Arabidopsis thaliana: one gene and its partners. The protein of the gene in region 1 interacts with the protein of each later gene in a pairwise test. Each region holds a gene or a part of one and is shown on either strand. Other genes may lie near its edges. The genes, in order: GH9A1, CESA4 and CESA6.

What was found.
Region 2: the proteins of GH9A1 (region 1) and CESA4 interact in a two-hybrid assay, tested with the Arabidopsis thaliana proteins (one study listed by BioGRID).
Region 3: the proteins of GH9A1 (region 1) and CESA6 interact in a two-hybrid assay, tested with the Arabidopsis thaliana proteins (one study listed by BioGRID).

What each region holds. Positions count from the first base shown.
Region 1 is NC_003076.8:20,196,834-20,202,467, forward strand, and holds GH9A1 (glycosyl hydrolase 9A1), read right to left. Parts: upstream 3,636-5,634; 5' UTR 3,336-3,635; coding exon 2,963-3,335; intron 2,885-2,962; coding exon 2,574-2,884; intron 2,501-2,573; coding exon 2,036-2,500; intron 1,920-2,035; coding exon 1,784-1,919; intron 1,683-1,783; coding exon 1,510-1,682; intron 1,340-1,509; coding exon 932-1,339; 3' UTR 558-931; downstream 1-557. Other genes in the region: AT5G49710 (RING finger protein), read left to right, coding at 66-174, 274-355; FRO6 (ferric reduction oxidase 6), read right to left, coding at 4,522-4,691, 4,894-5,341, 5,424-5,634. UniProt on the Arabidopsis thaliana protein: Required for cellulose microfibril formation. Involved in cell wall assembly during cell elongation and cell plate maturation in cytokinesis. Required for secondary cell wall formation in the developing xylem.
Region 2 is NC_003076.8:17,712,716-17,720,171, forward strand, and holds CESA4 (cellulose synthase A4), read left to right. Parts: upstream 1-1,674; 5' UTR 1,675-1,997; coding exon 1,998-2,033; intron 2,034-2,142; coding exon 2,143-2,335; intron 2,336-2,415; coding exon 2,416-2,691; intron 2,692-2,783; coding exon 2,784-2,940; intron 2,941-2,971; exon of another isoform or gene 2,972-3,023; coding exon 3,024-3,636; intron 3,637-3,709; coding exon 3,710-3,847; intron 3,848-3,941; coding exon 3,942-4,067; intron 4,068-4,146; coding exon 4,147-4,359; intron 4,360-4,430; coding exon 4,431-4,976; intron 4,977-5,537; coding exon 5,538-5,888; intron 5,889-6,261; coding exon 6,262-6,849; downstream 6,850-7,456. Other genes in the region: AT5G44020 (HAD superfamily, subfamily IIIB acid phosphatase), read left to right, coding at 1-148, 396-605, 1,154-1,331; AT5G44040 (eisosome SEG2-like protein), read right to left, coding at 7,181-7,456. UniProt on the Arabidopsis thaliana protein: Catalytic subunit of cellulose synthase terminal complexes ('rosettes'), required for beta-1,4-glucan microfibril crystallization, a major mechanism of the cell wall formation. Involved in the secondary cell wall formation.
Region 3 is NC_003076.8:25,879,310-25,887,074, forward strand, and holds CESA6 (cellulose synthase 6), read left to right. Parts: upstream 1-1,723; 5' UTR 1,724-2,245; coding exon 2,246-2,326; intron 2,327-2,720; coding exon 2,721-2,916; intron 2,917-3,004; coding exon 3,005-3,207; intron 3,208-3,290; coding exon 3,291-3,568; intron 3,569-3,650; coding exon 3,651-3,917; intron 3,918-4,000; coding exon 4,001-4,346; intron 4,347-4,533; coding exon 4,534-4,671; intron 4,672-4,757; coding exon 4,758-4,883; intron 4,884-4,994; coding exon 4,995-5,207; intron 5,208-5,290; coding exon 5,291-5,567; intron 5,568-5,652; coding exon 5,653-5,849; intron 5,850-5,931; coding exon 5,932-6,282; intron 6,283-6,442; coding exon 6,443-7,024; 3' UTR 7,025-7,419; downstream 7,420-7,765. UniProt on the Arabidopsis thaliana protein: Catalytic subunit of cellulose synthase terminal complexes ('rosettes'), required for beta-1,4-glucan microfibril crystallization, a major mechanism of the cell wall formation. Involved in the primary cell wall formation.

The DNA of each region.
Region 1 (5,634 bases):
TGATCAGTGGTGGCATATCAGATTAGTAGTAAAACTGTAACATTAGTGTTTGAATTGTAATGTAGCACTTAGCAGGATGTTCTCAGTGAAGAATAGAAAGGGGAAACTTCGGAAAGCCTGGGATGGAAGTAAGGTTGCTTACAACGTAGCGTCATGGAGCGCAACTGTTATAGGGTATAATATCATCTAGTCATCTTCTACATTGCAAAATCTAATAGTCCCATTGTTTATCGTTCTCACCAAGCATTTTTATTTTGTTCATTTCACCGACAGGATCTATCAAAACCCCGTGATCCTGAGGGTTGCATCAAAGGCCTTTTGGGCGTCATGTCATGTAATATCGAAGCTCGTTTGATTGACGATGACGCCTTCTCGAACACATCTCGCCTGTGTACTGTGATAACAGTTTAATTTGGGTTTCTCCATGATCTCTGTGAATACAACTTCATCATGTATAAAGAATGCCATATGTAATTCCGTTCTTTACTGCAATATTCTTTCTGCATCATCGTTTATATCCATTAAATGAGTAAATGCATGCTAGAATCACGTATTTTAGTAGACTACAGTTGTTATTCCAGGTTGATCTCACACTTGCACAATAAAACATAGTTAAAAGTTTAATACAGTTCATTAAATTGTTTATCAAAGAATACAAGTTTGGTATCAAACATATACAGAGTAAAACGCATAGATATATATGATATCTCACAAGAACAAAACAGCAACCCAAAAAAAGAAAAGAAAGACAATGCTTGTGGTAAAGTAACCCACCCCGTGTTTGTATCTAGTAAAGCCAAATGAAATCCTTAGTAGTTTGGTTATGGCTGACTTGTGTTTAGCTTCTAATCTTCTGGTCTCACACCCAAATCCTTCTTACCTCATTCATTTTTTTTGGCAGCAGCGACAGAATCACACAAGTCTAGCTTTCTCAAGGTTTCCATGGTGCTGGTGGAGGTGGTGGAGTAGGGAACAAAGGAGGAACAGCTGAGAAAATAGTGTTTTTGTCTATCTTACCGGTGGCTTCTTCTTCACCCGATAATGCCACAAGAGCTGCGACTAGACCAGCATTGCCTGCAAGAGTCGGTTCAGTGTAGTTGTAGTTCATACGGACATCACGGTACCCGTCGCGCTTGTCAGGACCAGCAACCATGGCTCCTTCAATCGTGTTTGGGTTTGGTTTCTTGCTGTCTCTCCATTTCCATCCTCCTTTGCAGTTATACTTGACTTTGTTCTTGGGTATCGAAGCTCCTCTGTGATGCACATGTCTTGGGTATTTTGTGCCAAAACCAACGACATAACTCATTTTCCGAGGGTTTTTACCCAGTATATAATCAATCTGCCAAAATACAGCAAGGCCGAGTTAAATCCAATTTAGATGTCAAAATAAAAAATGGAGTTTAAAAAGATCTTCGTACAATCTTGGTTAAAAGTGTCATTTTTGGATCTTATCCATTACTATATCTGAGATTACCATTTCTGTAAAGAGTAAAGGAAAAGAAGCAATACCTGGGATCTAGCAAAGTCACGTAGCACACTTGTCGAATAGAAATTAGGTCCACAGTACCATCCAGGAGTATCAGCAGCATCCAGATAATCACTGTATAGAGTCGCTAAGAAAGCTGCATTTACAGAATATTGCAGCGGCTGTGGAGCTCCATGATTCAACTCTATTAAACCTCCTGCACATACCAAAGATTTCATTTTAGATATCTGAAACAAGAACAAGCCCCACAGTTGGAGTTTTATTAGAGGCAGACATTAAAGCTGGAAGGTAACTAACCATTGGTTCTGTTAAATTTGTTGAAAATAGGCAAGTATGAGCACATGACTATGCTGGTCTGATTGTGGAAGGTCCTTAGAATTTCTTCATATGGATATCCAGGACTCAGAAACAACCTCAACCGGCTCAACAGCAACTAAAATCGCAAAAGGGATTCAAAAGAGTCAAGAGTAGTATGGTTAAGGCAAATGATCAAGAAGACATGAATATCTAAGAAACATAAACACAGCAGGTTGTTATGTGTGGACTGACCTGAGCACCAGCAAGCTTGTTGTCCCAGCTAAATACACCATAGTAAGGGCCACCCCAGAAGGCACCAGCATGCTTGGCCATAGTAGGTTGGGTGATTAGATTGAGATACGTTACATTTCCGGTAGCATAATACATCCAAGCACCACCCCAAATGAACTCATCCCAATACATACTTGAATTATAGAACTTGCTAGATTCCGCAGTGCCTGCACTATATCTCCCTCTCCTCGTCCTTCCAAACTGATACACCACCTTAGCACCATGGACAAGCTTTTTAGAATATTCCTTGTTATCCTTGAATACAATAGATGCTGAAGCCAGAGCAGCTGCCATCTCTGCAGCGAGATCCGAACATCCACCATTACAAGTAGTCACGGGCCTTTTATAGTCCATATCCTCAGGTCGCATCCAACAGTAATGGTCATTAGGATCTGTATTTCCATCATCAGTATTCCCTGATCCAACCTACATTAAACATGTAACGAGTGAACAAACAACTCAATATGAAAGATCTCCTACGAAGGTCATAAACAAGTACCTGTGACACAAGATCATCAATGGAATCAGCAGTACTATTGAAAGTCTTGAGAAAGTAATCAGTTCCCCATTTGATAAGCTCCTTAACATGAGTGAGCTCACCAGCAGCTTCGTATTTAGCACTATATTCAATAACACTCCAGCTCAACATAGTCATAGCATAAGCCATGGGGAAATTGAACTTGATAGCATCACCAGCATCATAATAACCTCCCACCAAATCTTTATAGAAGCTTCCTGTTTCACCTTTCCCATCTTGAAGCCCAGAATTACCTCTCCATGACACGTTATTATGCTTTGGCAATTTCCCAGCTACAACAATCAAAATCAGACTTAGATCTAAAACTCTATATCTAAATTTTATCAGATCTAAGTAGATTCTACACTTACATTTCTGAGCATTGAAGAACTTAAGAGCTTTGTGTAGAGCTATAGTATAATTATCCGGCGGCGGAGTCTTAGGATGATGACGCGGCACAGTTTTAACGATCAAGGTAATGAATCCGGCGAGTAACGCGGCGGCAACAAGAGTACCAACAGTCCAGACGAAGATCTTGCGGCTAACGATAATACAACCGAGATCGACGTACTTCTTCTTCTTCTGCTCCGTTGGACCAAGTAACCAACTCTGCTGCGTCTCATCTAGTGGACGTGAAAGAGCCGCACGATCCAAATCGTTTAAATTCCGACTACGATCATCGTCGGTGGCGGAATCTGCAGTGTTTATCTCCAATGGACCTCCCCATGGATCTCTTCCGTACATGATGATGCTCTCTGATAAAGCAGCAGAGAACAACAACAATGAATCAAAGGTTTGGGATCAGATCTGGAGAAGAGAAGAGAAGAGAGAAAGAAGTAAAAGTGTGTGGAAGTGAAGAAATGTGAAGCTAAAAAGCTCTCTCTAGTCAATAATGTACAAAGACTCTTTGAGAGATCTGGTTTTGGTTTTTTACTCTTTTTTTTTTTTCCTTTTTAAAACTCACTTCAATTATTTTGTTATTATATGTTTTGTTTGGTTTATTTGTACATGTTACGTTACAGCTAACTCTAATTTTGGAATAGTATATTTTTGGCCAACTATGATTGAGCGTTTTGGCCAACTTGTAATCTTGTGTATTTATTTTTCATACAATTAAAATTTGTCGGAGACATTAAAATATTATTTTTTATGCACCGTTTTTTCTAACAAAAAATTGCATATACTTTGTTTACTAGTAAAGCAATGGGCTAATGTCGGGTGGATGGAAAAAGACATCTCCGCTAATAAACTGTCGGTGGGATGATAATTTTATTTTATCCTTTATGATTATGGTGTTTTACACGTCATCATTTCTGGTGGGCTCTAAGTAATGACATAATTTTTAAAAAAAAATTATAACAAGGAAGGTTACTTAAATTCTACTTCTACTTGAAAATGATAGTCTACCACAAAATTTCACTTACATTTGTTAAAATTTAAAACTTATAAGATAAGTGTGTCCGACAAATTGATGGTAGATCAATGACCTAAAAAAAAATTACATCTTGTGGTCATTTTTACGACTCTAATCCCTCACAGAGTAAGTAAGGAGAATTATGAGAATCTAACTTTTAATTTGAAATTAAATACATTCGTAATTATAGAATCTAATCCCTCATATATATATGAATATATCTCTACTTTAAAAAATTCCGAAAATATATGGGCAGCTATGTAATTATAGGACTTATCAGCTTGCATTTAATTAATATTAAATGTCCAATGTAGAAACACCAACAAGTGTAGAACTAGAAACCATAGATGCTCATACATTTGATTTCTACTTTATACATCGAAAACTGAAAGATAAACATACACATATCAACCATAGCTGTTTCCATAGTACATACTGACAGAGATTACCTAAAATATATGCATCAATTTGTCTTCGAATTTCCTTCCATAATGTTCTTTGGCCTTGAAAGCATCGTTAGAGATCGAAACTGTGGCTGTTGAAGTGGAAAAGAGGATGATTCGCCGATCGCCAGATGCTATGTGACCGTATTTCTTTGGCTACGGTCGTCTGAAGAGTCGCTGGACCGCATACTATCACTCCAACATCCACACTCCCCCATTTCCCATTCAATGACTCAAATATCTCTGCAATTACAAAATAAAAATATTACATGAACCAATCAAAGATTTAACTTAACCGAATCGAGCCAAATATCTACACCAAAAGTCGGATTCAAGAACCGAACGAAACCGTGTCAAACCGTTCCGAATGATTTCAGTTTCTATAATTTTATAAATAAAAAAACGAGATAACTGGACTTGACACCGCTAATTTTGTAGTGTATACCTCTAAAGGCCGGTCTGGTGCCATAACGAATAGTGGTGTAATTCTGGACATCTTCTTCTATTGCCAAGCCCTTAAGCTCTGCTGCAGATGGATTATGGGTTTCTTCTCCATTCAAATCTACCTTGTCGTTGCCATTTGCTTCCACTTCACCGGTTTTGTGTTCCCAGCGATGCCAGAAAACAACCACAAGACCTCCAAAAATCAAGACACTTGCAACCATACAACCAACAAATAGAAGTCCCTTGTACCACCACGTTGTTATGTTGTATCTTTTTATGTAAAAGATGTCCAACAATGTGATCATTGAAATAAATCCAATGGTGGATATAATTAGATAGAGTCCAGACCATATGTTATCCCCTGTACCAACTAGTACCGACATAGAACATCCGTTGGTCCGTGGTAGCTTGACAGAAGGATGCACCACCTTGTGAACCATCCCATCTTCCTGTATAACCATGAAACATTAAAGAGTTCAACAAGCTTAGTAAGGCCTATTGCAGCTCCCAAAAGACTTATTTAAGACGTACCAAGCGAGGCTCGGATTGTCGAGTGATATATATGTGAATCTCAAGGTTTAGTTTCTTAGAGAAGAAAGGGCAAATGGAAGGTATGTCAATTGCTGAGAGCAGAGAGAGCTCGTCTGAGTTTTTAATGGCCCATACAACTAAAACCTTACTAGGTAAACAAGCTTTCCCATCTCTTTTACGGTGTAGGATATCGCTTAAGATGGCGAAAAAA
Region 2 (7,456 bases), 2.5 Mb from region 1:
TGGAGAGAGCCGTCGATGAAGCCATCCTCTACCTCGGAAAAACTTGTTGCGAGAAGAAGACATGCGATGGCATGGATGCTTGGATCTTTGACATTGATGACACTCTTCTCTCAACCATTCCTTACCACAAGAGCAACGGTTGTTTCGGGTAAATAAACTAAACTTAACCATATACATTAGCCTTGATTCGGTTTTTGGTTTGATTTATGGATATTAAAGATCCGAATTATATTTGAACAAAAAAAAATGATTATGTCACATAAAAAAAAATTGGCTTGAATTTTGGTTTAGATGGGTTTAAATGTCTACCTCTAATCATTTCATTTGTTTTCTGGTTAGCTTTAATTCGGTTTAGAATGAAACCGGGATTGACATGTTACATTGATTTGAAACAGTGGTGAGCAACTGAACACGACCAAGTTCGAGGAATGGCAAAATTCGGGCAAGGCACCAGCGGTTCCACACATGGTGAAGTTGTACCATGAGATCAGAGAGAGAGGTTTCAAGATCTTTTTGATCTCTTCTCGTAAAGAGTATCTCAGATCTGCCACCGTCGAAAATCTTATTGAAGCCGGTTACCACAGCTGGTCTAACCTCCTTCTGAGGTTCGAATCATATTTAATAACCGCATTAAACCGAAATTTAAATTCTAATTTCACCAAATCAAAAAGTAAAACTAGAACACTTCAGATAAATTTTGTCGTTCTGTTGACTTCATTTATTCTCTAAACACAAAGAACTATAGACCATAATCGAAATAAAAACCCTAAAAACCAAATTTATCTATTTAAAACAAACATTAGCTATTTGAGTTTCTTTTAGGTAAGTTATTTAAGGTTTTGGAGACTTTAAGATGTTTTCAGCATTTATGGTTGTGTCATTAATTTGTTTAGTTTAGTAAAGAAAGAAAAGATAGTAATTAAAGAGTTGGTTGTGAAATCATATTTAAAACATTAATAGGTATTTATGTCTAATTTGGGGACAAAATAGTGGAATTCTTTATCATATCTAGCTAGTTCTTATCGAGTTTGAACTCGGGTTATGATTATGTTACATGCATTGGTCCATATAAATCTATGAGCAATCAATATAATTCGAGCATTTTGGTATAACATAATGAGCCAAGTATAACAAAAGTATCAAACCTATGCAGGGGAGAAGATGATGAAAAGAAGAGTGTGAGCCAATACAAAGCAGATTTGAGGACATGGCTTACAAGTCTTGGGTACAGAGTTTGGGGAGTGATGGGTGCACAATGGAACAGCTTCTCTGGTTGTCCAGTTCCCAAGAGAACCTTCAAGCTCCCTAACTCCATCTACTATGTCGCCTGATTAAATCTTATTTACTAACAAAACAATAAGATCAGAGTTTCATTCTGATTCTTGAGTCTTTTTTTTCTCTCTCCCTCTTTTCATTTCTGGTTTATATAACCAATTCAAATGCTTATGATCCATGCATGAACCATGATCATCTTTGTGTTTTTTTTTCCTTCTGTATTACCATTTTGGGCCTTTGTGAAATTGATTTTGGGCTTTTGTTATATAATCTCCTCTTTCTCTTTCTCTACCTGATTGGATTCAAGAACATAGCCAGATTTGGTAAAGTTTATAAGATACAAAATATTAAGTAAGACTAAAGTAGAAATACATAATAACTTGAAAGCTACTCTAAGTTATACAAATTCTAAAGAACTCAAAAGAATAACAAACAGTAGAAGTTGGAAGCTCAAGCAATTAAATTATATAAAAACACTAACTACACTGAGCTGTCTCCTTCTTCCACCAAATCTTGTTGCTGTCTCTTGAAGCTTTCTTATGACACAAACCTTAGACCCAATTTCACTCACAGTTTGGTACAACCTCAGTTTTCTTCACAACAAATTCAAACATCTTACCCTTATATTACCTCTTTATCTCTTCAATCATCAAAACACATAGTCACATACATTTCTCTACCCCACCTTCTGCTCTGCTTCCGAGAGCTCAGTGTACCTCGCCATGGAACCAAACACCATGGCCAGCTTCGACGATGAGGTAAGAGAAAACAAAACCGAAACTTGTTTCCTAGGTTTTGTTCTTTACCAAATTCTTTCATTTGGATTCACATTAAAATCTCAACGTAATGTACATTTCGTGGATGCAGCATCGTCATTCCTCATTCTCGGCTAAGATTTGCAAAGTCTGTGGCGATGAGGTCAAAGACGATGACAATGGTCAGACTTTTGTGGCGTGTCACGTGTGCGTTTACCCGGTTTGCAAACCTTGCTATGAATATGAGCGTAGCAACGGTAACAAATGTTGCCCTCAATGCAACACTCTTTACAAACGCCACAAAGGTAGATTAACTTAAACCCTGTTTTCCTCTCAAAACTATATCTAGCTTGACTCTCATACTGGTGAATTGTTTTGCTTGAAGGCTCTCCAAAAATCGCCGGAGATGAAGAAAACAATGGTCCTGATGATTCAGATGATGAGTTGAATATCAAATATCGCCAGGATGGTTCCTCCATTCACCAGAATTTTGCCTATGGATCGGTACTATTTGACTTTGATTCATGTTTTTTCTTTATAGTCTCTCTTTCCCATTTGGATCAAATTCTGAGTATTTTCTCGGTAATGCAGGAAAATGGAGACTACAACAGTAAGCAGCAATGGCGTCCAAATGGTCGAGCCTTTTCTTCCACCGGAAGTGGTATAAATAGAAAATATGTGTGAAATATGTAAATACCTATAGATGTGCAAACGCAAAATTTGAGACCTGTTTCTGTATGATTTGATTTGAAGTGTTGGGGAAAGACTTTGAAGCTGAGAGAGATGGCTACACAGATGCGGAGTGGAAAGAACGTGTAGATAAATGGAAAGCGAGGCAAGAGAAGAGAGGTTTAGTGACTAAAGGAGAACAAACAAACGAAGACAAAGAAGATGATGAAGAAGAATACCTGTAATAAACAAAAATCTGTTTTTCCTTTTATCTCAAGTATTAAAGACTTGAAGCGTAAGTAACTGAGTTCTTGTTGTTTACAGAGATGCTGAAGCAAGACAACCTCTCTGGAGAAAAGTCCCAATCTCTTCGAGCAAAATCAGTCCTTACCGCATCGTGATCGTTCTTCGCCTTGTGATCTTAGTTTTCTTCTTCCGTTTCCGTATCTTGACACCAGCCAAAGACGCATACCCTCTCTGGCTTATCTCAGTCATCTGCGAGATCTGGTTCGCTCTCTCTTGGATCCTTGATCAGTTCCCGAAATGGTTTCCGATTAACCGAGAAACCTACCTTGACCGTCTCTCTATGAGATTTGAACGGGATGGGGAAAAGAACAAGCTTGCACCGGTTGATGTGTTTGTCAGTACAGTGGATCCGCTCAAGGAACCTCCCATAATCACAGCCAACACAATTCTTTCGATCTTAGCCGTTGATTACCCAGTGAATAAGGTGAGCTGCTATGTGTCTGATGACGGTGCATCAATGCTCCTGTTCGATACATTGTCCGAAACTTCCGAGTTTGCAAGGAGATGGGTTCCGTTTTGCAAGAAGTACAATGTTGAGCCAAGAGCTCCAGAGTTTTACTTCTCAGAGAAGATTGATTACCTAAAGGATAAAGTCCAAACTACATTCGTCAAAGATCGCAGAGCAATGAAGGTCAGTGAAGAAAGATCTCTTACTTTTAAACCACAGAACATATCTTCTTTACTTACTTGTCAGTGTTTTGCAGAGAGAATATGAAGAATTCAAAGTGAGGATCAATGCTTTAGTAGCTAAAGCTCAAAAGAAGCCTGAAGAAGGTTGGGTTATGCAAGATGGTACACCATGGCCTGGGAATAACACTCGTGATCATCCCGGGATGATTCAGGTCACCACGAAAACCTCAAATCCCAACGGTTACGATATACCATCAAAGGTTCCACCTTTGGATCTAACCAACTACTTTGATTCAACTTTTTCAGGTGTATCTCGGCAAAGAAGGAGCATTCGACATTGATGGTAACGAATTGCCACGTCTCGTGTATGTATCAAGAGAGAAGCGTCCTGGTTACGCACACCACAAGAAAGCTGGAGCCATGAATGCAATGGTAAGCAAAGCAAAGCAAATCAAACAGTCAAAAGCTCACTAAGAAACCAAATCTAACTTGTTTTCGGGTGATGTCGCAGGTTCGAGTCTCTGCAGTACTCACTAATGCTCCATTCATGCTTAATCTCGACTGTGACCATTACATCAACAACAGTAAAGCCATAAGAGAATCAATGTGCTTTCTAATGGATCCACAGCTTGGTAAAAAGCTCTGTTATGTCCAATTCCCACAAAGATTCGACGGAATCGATCTTAACGATCGATACGCCAACAGAAACATCGTCTTCTTCGATGTAAGTCTTCATTAGCAAAACCCCCGAATTCAAAATTCAAAACCCTTAAATCTGATTTTTGTTTATAACAGATAAACATGAGAGGCTTAGATGGAATCCAAGGACCAGTCTATGTAGGAACAGGATGTGTATTCAATAGACCAGCATTATACGGATACGAACCTCCGGTATCGGAAAAACGAAAGAAAATGACATGTGATTGTTGGCCGTCGTGGATCTGCTGTTGTTGCGGCGGAGGTAACCGTAATCACAAATCAGATTCGTCAAAGAAGAAATCAGGAATCAAGAGCTTGTTCTCGAAACTAAAGAAGAAGACTAAGAAGAAGAGTGATGATAAAACGATGAGCAGCTATAGTAGAAAACGATCATCGACGGAGGCGATTTTTGATTTGGAAGATATTGAGGAAGGGCTTGAAGGATATGATGAGCTTGAGAAATCTTCGTTAATGTCGCAGAAGAATTTTGAGAAGAGATTTGGAATGTCTCCTGTGTTTATTGCGTCGACGTTGATGGAGAACGGAGGATTGCCGGAGGCGACGAACACGAGCTCGTTGATCAAAGAAGCTATTCATGTTATTAGCTGTGGTTATGAAGAGAAGACTGAATGGGGCAAAGAGGTAAATAATCATATTTATACTTTATAGTGTGGAATTCCTAATATTGCAGAATTGCTAAGAGTAAGACAATTAACAAAATAACTTTCAAGTAATACAAAAATATTTTGAAATAATAATAAAAACTAATTTTCAAAACATTAGTTTAAAAAAAACAAAAATAAAATAAACTTCTATTATAATTTCTAAAGATTAAAATAAAATCAAAAACTTTTTCCTTTGTCAACCACATATTACTCGAAAATTTATTTTATTTTTAGTTTACATTTTTAAATATTTATCCGTAACTCGCGAATTTAAATGACTGAATTCATCAACTAAATTGAATTTTACTAGTTATAATTGTTTTGTAGAATATATAGATTGACTAAATAAAAAGTTTGATTTACTAGTTATTTTGATTTTACAATTTGCAATATATGTTTAATCAATCCTTTTTTTCTTTTGCAAATATAAATTAGAAAGATAACCAAAAAGCTGTTATCTAATACTAATATTGATTTGAGTATGGATTTTAGTGCTTGACTCTTGATTTTTGAACTATGTTTCATTGTTGTGTTTCAGATTGGATGGATTTATGGATCAGTAACAGAAGATATCCTCACTGGATTTAGAATGCATTGTAGAGGTTGGAAATCAGTTTACTGTATGCCTAAAAGACCAGCTTTCAAAGGATCAGCTCCGATCAATTTATCTGATCGGTTGCACCAAGTTCTTAGATGGGCTCTTGGTTCCGTCGAAATCTTCTTTAGTCGTCATTGTCCTTTGTGGTATGCTTGGGGAGGCAAGCTTAAGATTCTAGAACGTCTTGCTTACATCAACACAATTGTTTATCCTTTCACTTCTATTCCTCTACTTGCCTATTGTACTATTCCGGCCGTTTGTCTTCTCACCGGCAAGTTCATCATTCCTACGGTAAGTGCTCATGATCTATGTATACTTTAAACTCCTAATGGTTTTTACACTTTAACCATAATTCATGAAAAAATAATTATTTTACCCAAACGTTTATAAGAGACTTCTTTTGCGACTATATTTTAGAAACCAGTTCCATCAATCCTACGGCTAGTTTTTTTTAACCCTTAAACTCCTAAAAGTTTGCACTCTTACCCCTAAAGTTTATATCCTAAATTCCAAATATTTAACTCTTTTACCCCTTAGTTATATAAAAATTCACTGTTACCCTAAATGTATTTGTCACAAAATCGAAGAAATGATTATACTTTTTTTTTTGACAATTAGAAATGATTATACTTTATTAACACCCTTTTGCTCTCTTTTGATTCAGATCAACAATTTCGCAAGCATATGGTTCTTAGCTCTGTTCCTATCAATCATTGCAACGGCTATCTTAGAACTCCGGTGGAGTGGTGTAAGCATCAATGACCTCTGGCGTAACGAGCAATTCTGGGTGATTGGCGGTGTCTCAGCTCATCTCTTCGCTGTCTTTCAAGGTCTTCTTAAAGTTCTCTTTGGTGTTGACACTAACTTCACCGTCACGTCAAAAGGAGCCAGTGACGAAGCCGATGAGTTTGGAGATCTTTACCTCTTTAAATGGACAACCCTTCTCATCCCTCCGACAACTCTCATTATTCTCAACATGGTCGGTGTTGTTGCCGGAGTTTCTGACGCTATTAACAATGGATATGGTTCTTGGGGACCGCTTTTTGGGAAACTGTTTTTCGCGTTTTGGGTCATTGTTCATCTTTATCCTTTCCTCAAAGGTTTGATGGGTAGACAAAACCGAACACCGACGATTGTTGTTCTTTGGTCTATCCTTCTCGCTTCGATCTTCTCTTTGGTTTGGGTTCGGATTGATCCGTTCTTGCCGAAACAGACTGGTCCGTTACTGAAGCAATGTGGCGTCGACTGTTAAATGAGGAACCGCATTTTCGTTTTGGACCGCTATTTTGAGCCATTTTGCTTGGCCTATTTTTCCGATTTGGGTGTTCTTTGTTGGATTATATGGATTTGTAAGGAGGAAAAAAAATACAAAACTTTGATTCACTTGTGAAATAAAGTAGACAAATTTCTGTAAAATACAAACAAATAGAATGAATATTACTAAATCAAATCACACACAAAACACAACGATTTTGTTATCAACCACACACACACAAACAAACAGAGTGATAAAAATAATTTCACAAAGGCAATGTAGTAACCAAACATGTGTGGAATTCTTTCTCTGTTGTGGAATTGGAGTTCTAAGAACTTCGACTGTACTTGTTCGTTGCCATTGAGTGACTGTTCCAGTAACCACCAACTGTTCCAATTATCGGTGATTCAGGGCTTCTACTTGGCGATTTCCTTGGCGAATTCGTAGCTGAGAACTGCTTTATCTCCTCTGCAGTTAACGCGCCCAATATAGGTCTTTCATCATGGCATTGAACCAGTTTCGAGTATTTCTTCTTCTCGGACATTGTGGTTTCAACACTGCTACAACCGCTGGTCGTGGTTTGTGATGTGGATAACCAAGTTGA
Region 3 (7,765 bases), 5.7 Mb from region 1:
TTTCTATTCTATAGTCTTGAAAATTAAAACAATATTTACTAGGAAAAAGAATAATATAAGGGCACCGACAGTTTCTATAAGAACATGTGGCACGAGGGCTTGGAGAAGACAGTACACAGCATTCAATCAATCATGAAAACGACATTTGATGTGGTAACCTACTAAAGTTCGATCTTTTTTTATGAAAGTTTCTTAATATTTCTTTAATTTCCGGACTATATCTATCAACAAGTCAAAAGATTAAAAAAAATCAACAAGCAAAATACTGTTAAAATATTGTTTTATATATACCACGAACTATTTGTCGGCAAATGTATACATATAGTATAGACATCATACATGGGCAAATCGCATATATTTGTGTGATGTGATACCATAGTCTCAATAATTTGAACATTTTTCTCTTATTTAAGCACGGAGGAAAAATTAGCTATATGGCGACTTGGCGAGTGGAGCCAAGATTAAAAAAAAAAAAAGCATGTTATTTAAAAATATGGTAGACATAACATACAAAAAAATATAGTAAAATAAACAGAACTGATTGAACAAAAGAGAGTGATCAAAGTTGAAAAATAATTTAACTATAAAAACTAAAAAGAAAATTATCAGAGGATGGAGATATTAAACTAATAAAAATGTAATTAAATAAGTAAACTATAAATTAAATAAGTAAAAAATTAAACGTAATTAGAAGGAACAAAAAAAACTAGAAAAGTAAAAACATAAGAGAGGAAGGAGGGAAGCAAAAGTGAAAACCAATGCAGTCAACAGTCAAAAACCATGATACAGTCCATGCGTAGAACATAATTAACTTAAGCAATAAATTTAATAAGTAAAAAATTAAACGTAATTAGAAGGAACAAAAAAAAAGTATATAAAAAATTAGAAGGAACAAAAAAAAAAACTAGAAAATAGGATCTTGGACACGATGCTTACAGATTGTTTTTTGTCTGGGAAGTAAATGCCCATATCTGTTTCTCGACATTTTGAAGTCTCTCTAACAAAATAATTAGAGGAATTAAGAACTTGATTGTGTAACTTTTTTTTTAATCTTAAATTAAGATAATACTATTTCATTACAACTATTATTTTCTTGCACATGTTGCAAGAACGTGAGAGTGTACGCAGACAAATAATTAAAACGAAAATAAAATTATAATGATTATATACAATCTCGGCTATCAATTGATTAATAGAGAAAATTGACTAACCACTCTGAATTGGCTCAAAATGTAGTTATTAATTCAAACCGAGTTTCACTTCATTTATATTATTTTCATTTTTTAACTTTAAAATATATATATTTAATAAACCAAATATGATCTAAACTAAATCTAAAAGGCTCCATCCAAAGTAGATTTGATTTTACTATATATTTAAAACATGTATGGTAGGAAAATTTAACCGAAACCAAATTAAACACATTTTAGGGTGAAGAAAATCACCCAAAAAAAAAAGGTGACTTTTTTTTGTAACAAAACAAAAGACCTAAAGTTTAGAGACAAAATAAAATGTTAGGGTGATTCAATGCATCACATAATACAGTATTGTTAATAATTAATGGCTAATAATAATGTGTGTTTGGAAGTTTTTACTAATCTCTTCTTTACAACAACAAGTGGAGTGGAAGAGAGAGATACACACAAGGTTTAATGGGTCCCACATTCTTTTACTTCTCAAAATTTAATTACTAATTTTATCTAATTTTGGTGCTCTTTTTCCTCATCTACATAATTGCCTTTAATTATCTCACACCATTTAACTAATCACTGATTCTCTTCTTCCTTACGCGTTTGTACTTAACCCCCTTTTATCATCATTTCGCAGGCTTGCGTCTGTCTCTCTCTCTCTCTCCACCATTGACTCTCTCTCTCTCTCTCGCTCTGGAATCATCCTTTATTTCTGTGACTGTGTGCACTTTCAGAGAGGAGAGAGAGGCCCAAAACCAAAAGAAAAGAAAAGGTTGTGGCTTGCAGCTGAATCAATACCATCTCCATATATACAATACACCTTCACTATTCCCCCTTTTGTATTTTTATTATATTTTTCCCATCAAAGTCTGTTTTTTTAGACTCCGGTTTGCCGCTTTGTGTGTGTGTGAGAGAGAGAAAGAGAGCTATCTATCCTCTGATTTATGGTCTCTGGATCTCTGACAATCGAGTTGAGTTAATTACAACACATTCCTCTCTTTCTCAATCGATCTGTGAAATCCAAGATTGTTAGCTGTGTCTGTTTTCAGACAAATATGAACACCGGTGGTCGGTTAATCGCCGGTTCTCACAACAGGAATGAGTTTGTCCTCATTAATGCCGATGAGAATGCCCGAGTATGTTTCTCCTCTTCTTTTGTTTCCAATTCTCTGTCTTTTGATCTGTGTTTCTCTATCTCTGTTCAAAAGTCTCTGACTTTTTTTACTTTTCTTGTGGATCTGGCTCTTACCACTGCAAATCAATTAAGATTTAGGGTTTTTAGTACTAGTATTAAGATTACGTACCCTTGTAGCTAATTTTATCAAGAATTGATTGTGTCGGTGGGATGGATTTTTCCGGATTTGACTTGTCTTAATTCTCCAATTTAAGAGATTTCTTCAATTGCAATTATGAATCTATCAATGTGAAGAGTAATAATTATGTTATTGGGTTACTTTGATCTGGTGTGAGATCCAGTCTGATAGTGTCACTACTATGATCTGATGTATTTAACTCTACTGTTTTGTGCAGATAAGATCAGTCCAAGAGCTGAGTGGACAGACATGTCAAATCTGCAGAGATGAGATCGAATTGACTGTTGATGGAGAACCGTTTGTGGCATGTAACGAATGTGCATTCCCTGTGTGTAGACCTTGCTATGAGTACGAAAGACGAGAAGGCAATCAAGCTTGTCCACAGTGCAAAACCCGTTTCAAACGTCTTAAAGGTTCGTTGTTTGTTAGACCAAATTTCTTTGGTTTTTTGTGAATGTAGAAGATTTTCTGATTTGTTCGGCCTATGTTGTTGTTTGTTAGGAAGTCCAAGAGTTGAAGGTGATGAAGAGGAAGATGACATTGATGATTTAGACAATGAGTTTGAGTATGGAAATAATGGGATTGGATTTGATCAGGTTTCTGAAGGTATGTCAATCTCTCGTCGCAACTCCGGTTTCCCACAATCTGATTTGGATTCAGCTCCACCTGGCTCTCAGATTCCATTGCTGACTTACGGCGACGAGGTAAAAATCTCAGAATGTATCCACATTGTATAACCCATCTTCAGTAATTGGCTCACTCAGATTTCTCTTTTGTTTTATTACAGGACGTTGAGATTTCTTCTGATAGACATGCTCTTATTGTTCCTCCTTCACTTGGTGGTCATGGCAATAGAGTTCATCCTGTTTCTCTTTCTGACCCGACCGTGGCTGCACATCCAAGGCCTATGGTACCTCAGAAAGATCTTGCGGTTTATGGTTATGGAAGTGTCGCTTGGAAAGATCGGATGGAGGAATGGAAGAGAAAGCAGAATGAGAAACTTCAGGTTGTTAGGCATGAAGGAGATCCTGATTTTGAAGATGGTGATGATGCTGATTTTCCAATGTAAGGCAAAGAATATAATTTTTTTTGTTGATGTCTTGTTCCGTTGCAGTGATATTTATCAAGCCTTTTTTTTCCATTTTAGGATGGATGAGGGAAGGCAGCCATTGTCTAGGAAGATACCAATCAAATCGAGCAAGATAAATCCTTACCGGATGTTAATTGTGCTACGTCTTGTGATTCTTGGTCTCTTCTTTCACTACCGTATTCTTCACCCCGTCAAAGATGCATATGCTTTGTGGCTTATTTCTGTTATATGTGAGATATGGTTTGCTGTTTCATGGGTTCTTGATCAGTTCCCTAAATGGTACCCTATCGAGCGAGAAACGTACTTGGACCGACTCTCATTAAGGTACTTACATCTTGTGGGTTATTACACTTGGAAATGTTAAAACTTTGTTTTGGGGATATAATCCTTATTTTTTTTGTTTGCAGATATGAGAAAGAAGGGAAACCGTCGGGACTATCCCCTGTGGATGTATTTGTTAGTACAGTGGATCCATTGAAAGAGCCTCCGCTTATTACTGCAAATACTGTCTTGTCTATTCTTGCTGTTGATTATCCTGTCGATAAGGTTGCTTGTTACGTATCTGATGATGGTGCTGCTATGCTTACTTTCGAAGCTCTTTCTGAGACCGCTGAATTCGCAAGGAAATGGGTTCCTTTCTGCAAGAAATATTGTATTGAGCCTCGTGCTCCCGAATGGTATTTCTGCCATAAAATGGACTACTTGAAGAATAAAGTTCATCCCGCATTTGTTAGGGAGCGGCGAGCCATGAAGGTTACTAGTTCTTACTTTTTTATAAATTTGATTTGATGAGAAAAGTTTTGGTCTAATTGATTCTTGCTTTAGAAAAAAAAAATTCATGAGAAAAGTTATCAATCTTTTGTTATATGGGCTCTTATGAAAGAAGATGGTGGCTTTGAAAATTGATTTGAAAGATTGTGTGTTTTACTGGTTTTGACAGAGAGATTATGAAGAATTCAAAGTAAAGATCAATGCTTTAGTAGCAACAGCACAGAAAGTGCCTGAGGATGGTTGGACTATGCAAGACGGTACACCTTGGCCCGGTAATAGTGTGCGAGATCATCCTGGCATGATTCAGGTGAGTTTCAAATGCTTCTTATTTCTGAAAAGCCTTCTTATGTGTTGTCCTTCAAAATTTAATTATACTTTGTTTTCTTGTTAAAGGTCTTCCTTGGAAGTGACGGTGTTCGTGATGTCGAAAACAACGAGTTGCCTCGATTAGTTTACGTTTCTCGTGAGAAGAGACCCGGATTTGATCACCATAAGAAGGCTGGAGCTATGAATTCCCTGGTAAATGATATACTTTTTAAAGCTCTAAACCTTCTTCTTTGTAAATTACGTCTTGCCATTTATTGAAATGGTTCCTGACTCTTGATTTCATCTACAAAACTTTTGTTGAAGATACGAGTCTCTGGGGTTCTATCAAATGCTCCTTACCTTCTGAATGTCGATTGTGATCACTACATCAACAATAGCAAAGCTCTTAGAGAAGCAATGTGTTTCATGATGGATCCTCAGTCAGGAAAGAAAATCTGTTATGTTCAGTTCCCTCAAAGGTTCGATGGGATTGATAGGCACGATCGATACTCAAATCGCAATGTTGTGTTCTTTGATGTAAGTACAGCCACCACTTTCCTATTGTATCCCTTTTTCTTGAGATTTCTGTAGAATACCAACTAATGAATCTTTATTTACAGATCAATATGAAAGGTTTGGATGGGCTACAAGGGCCTATATACGTCGGTACAGGTTGTGTTTTCAGGAGGCAAGCGCTTTACGGATTTGATGCACCGAAGAAGAAGAAGGGCCCACGTAAGACATGCAATTGCTGGCCAAAATGGTGTCTCCTATGTTTTGGTTCAAGAAAGAATCGTAAAGCAAAGACAGTGGCTGCGGATAAGAAGAAGAAGAATAGGGAAGCGTCAAAGCAGATCCACGCATTAGAAAATATCGAAGAGGGCCGCGTCACTAAAGGTATCATACAAATCCTGTTTGTTGTTAAACTCTTTCGTTAGTCGGTGCATTTTACTAAAAAAATAAAATTTAAAAAACATTCTAGGTTCTAACGTAGAACAGTCAACCGAGGCAATGCAAATGAAGTTGGAGAAGAAATTTGGGCAGTCTCCTGTATTTGTTGCATCTGCGCGTATGGAGAATGGTGGGATGGCTAGAAACGCAAGCCCGGCTTGTCTGCTTAAAGAAGCCATCCAAGTCATTAGTTGCGGATATGAAGATAAAACTGAATGGGGAAAAGAGGTAAGCAGCCGGTTTTAAACCTTTGTTGTGTTTATTCAATCAATTCTTGATTTTGATGATGACCTTGTGAAAAAAATCTCAGATTGGGTGGATCTATGGTTCTGTTACCGAAGATATTCTTACGGGTTTTAAGATGCATTCTCATGGTTGGAGATCTGTTTATTGTACACCAAAGTTAGCGGCTTTCAAAGGATCAGCTCCAATCAATCTTTCGGATCGTCTCCATCAAGTTCTTCGATGGGCGCTTGGGTCGGTTGAGATTTTCTTGAGTAGGCATTGTCCTATTTGGTATGGTTATGGAGGTGGGTTGAAATGGCTTGAGCGGTTGTCCTACATTAACTCTGTGGTTTACCCGTGGACCTCTCTACCGCTCATCGTTTACTGTTCTCTCCCTGCCATCTGTCTTCTCACTGGAAAATTCATCGTTCCCGAGGTAAAACAATCATCTTGAGTTCTCAAAATATGAATCTTTATTTCACGTTTTGTGCTTATTCATTTTCCTTGCCACTGGGGGTTAAAAGTATCATATGAATCTTTATTCCAAGTTGTGTGTTTTAAGACCGGAAAACGATTCTTGTTCCTTCTTTTTCCAGATTAGCAACTATGCGAGTATCCTCTTCATGGCGCTCTTCTCGTCGATTGCAATAACGGGTATTCTCGAGATGCAATGGGGCAAAGTTGGGATCGATGATTGGTGGAGAAACGAACAGTTTTGGGTCATTGGAGGTGTTTCTGCGCATCTGTTTGCTCTCTTCCAAGGTCTCCTCAAGGTTCTTGCTGGTGTCGACACTAACTTCACAGTCACATCAAAAGCAGCTGATGATGGAGAGTTCTCTGACCTTTACCTCTTCAAATGGACTTCACTTCTCATCCCTCCAATGACTCTACTCATCATAAACGTCATTGGAGTCATAGTCGGAGTCTCTGATGCCATCAGCAATGGATACGACTCGTGGGGACCGCTTTTCGGAAGACTGTTCTTTGCACTTTGGGTCATCATTCATCTTTACCCGTTCCTTAAAGGTTTGCTTGGGAAACAAGATAGAATGCCAACCATTATTGTCGTCTGGTCCATCCTCCTGGCCTCGATTCTTACACTTCTTTGGGTCCGGGTTAATCCGTTTGTGGCGAAAGGCGGTCCTATTCTCGAGATCTGTGGTTTAGACTGCTTGTGATTCGATTGACCGGTGGATGGGTTGGTGAAAAAGGTTTAATTCCCACGGATCAAAGAGAGGTAAGAGAGATATTGTTTTACCTCTAAAAGACTCCTTCATTGTGTTCATTAGATGATGAAAAATGAAAAGAAAAAGAAGATTTAATTTTGTTACGAGAATTGTTATTTTTGCAAGAATGTGTTGTAGATATAGAGATGAAGAAGAAAGTTGTTGTCTATTTGTTTTGTTCTTTGGTGGTGAGAGAAAAAAGATTTGTCAAATTATTCTTTAATTGAATATTTCTGATCTCTTTTGAATATTACAGAAGAGCATTTTCAATCTGTAATCTTTTATGATTAAAGAACTTTGATTTATTTTCACTAATTTCCCTATCTTATTTCTTGTTTGAAAAATTAATTTACTCGAGGTTTGATTGGTTTTGATTTTCAATCCGCATGCTTGGAGACGTTTTAAAGCATCCATTAAAAATGTTACCAAACCTTAGAAAATTACGAACTTGATCAGAGTGGCCCAAAACAAATTATACAGGCCCAATACAGGCCCGAATCTACACAGCCTTTTACACTTTTATTGGTTCTGTTTTGACAAGTGACATGGTGCTTTCATCATATCTGCAGAGGGCAGCACTCAGATTGGTTAGTCTTTTTGGTTAGAGAATTTTGAAAACTTTTTTGTTTCTCATTTGTAAGTGTCACTACGCAAAGTAATTTAATATTTTTGTATCGTTCTAGTTTTATTAAA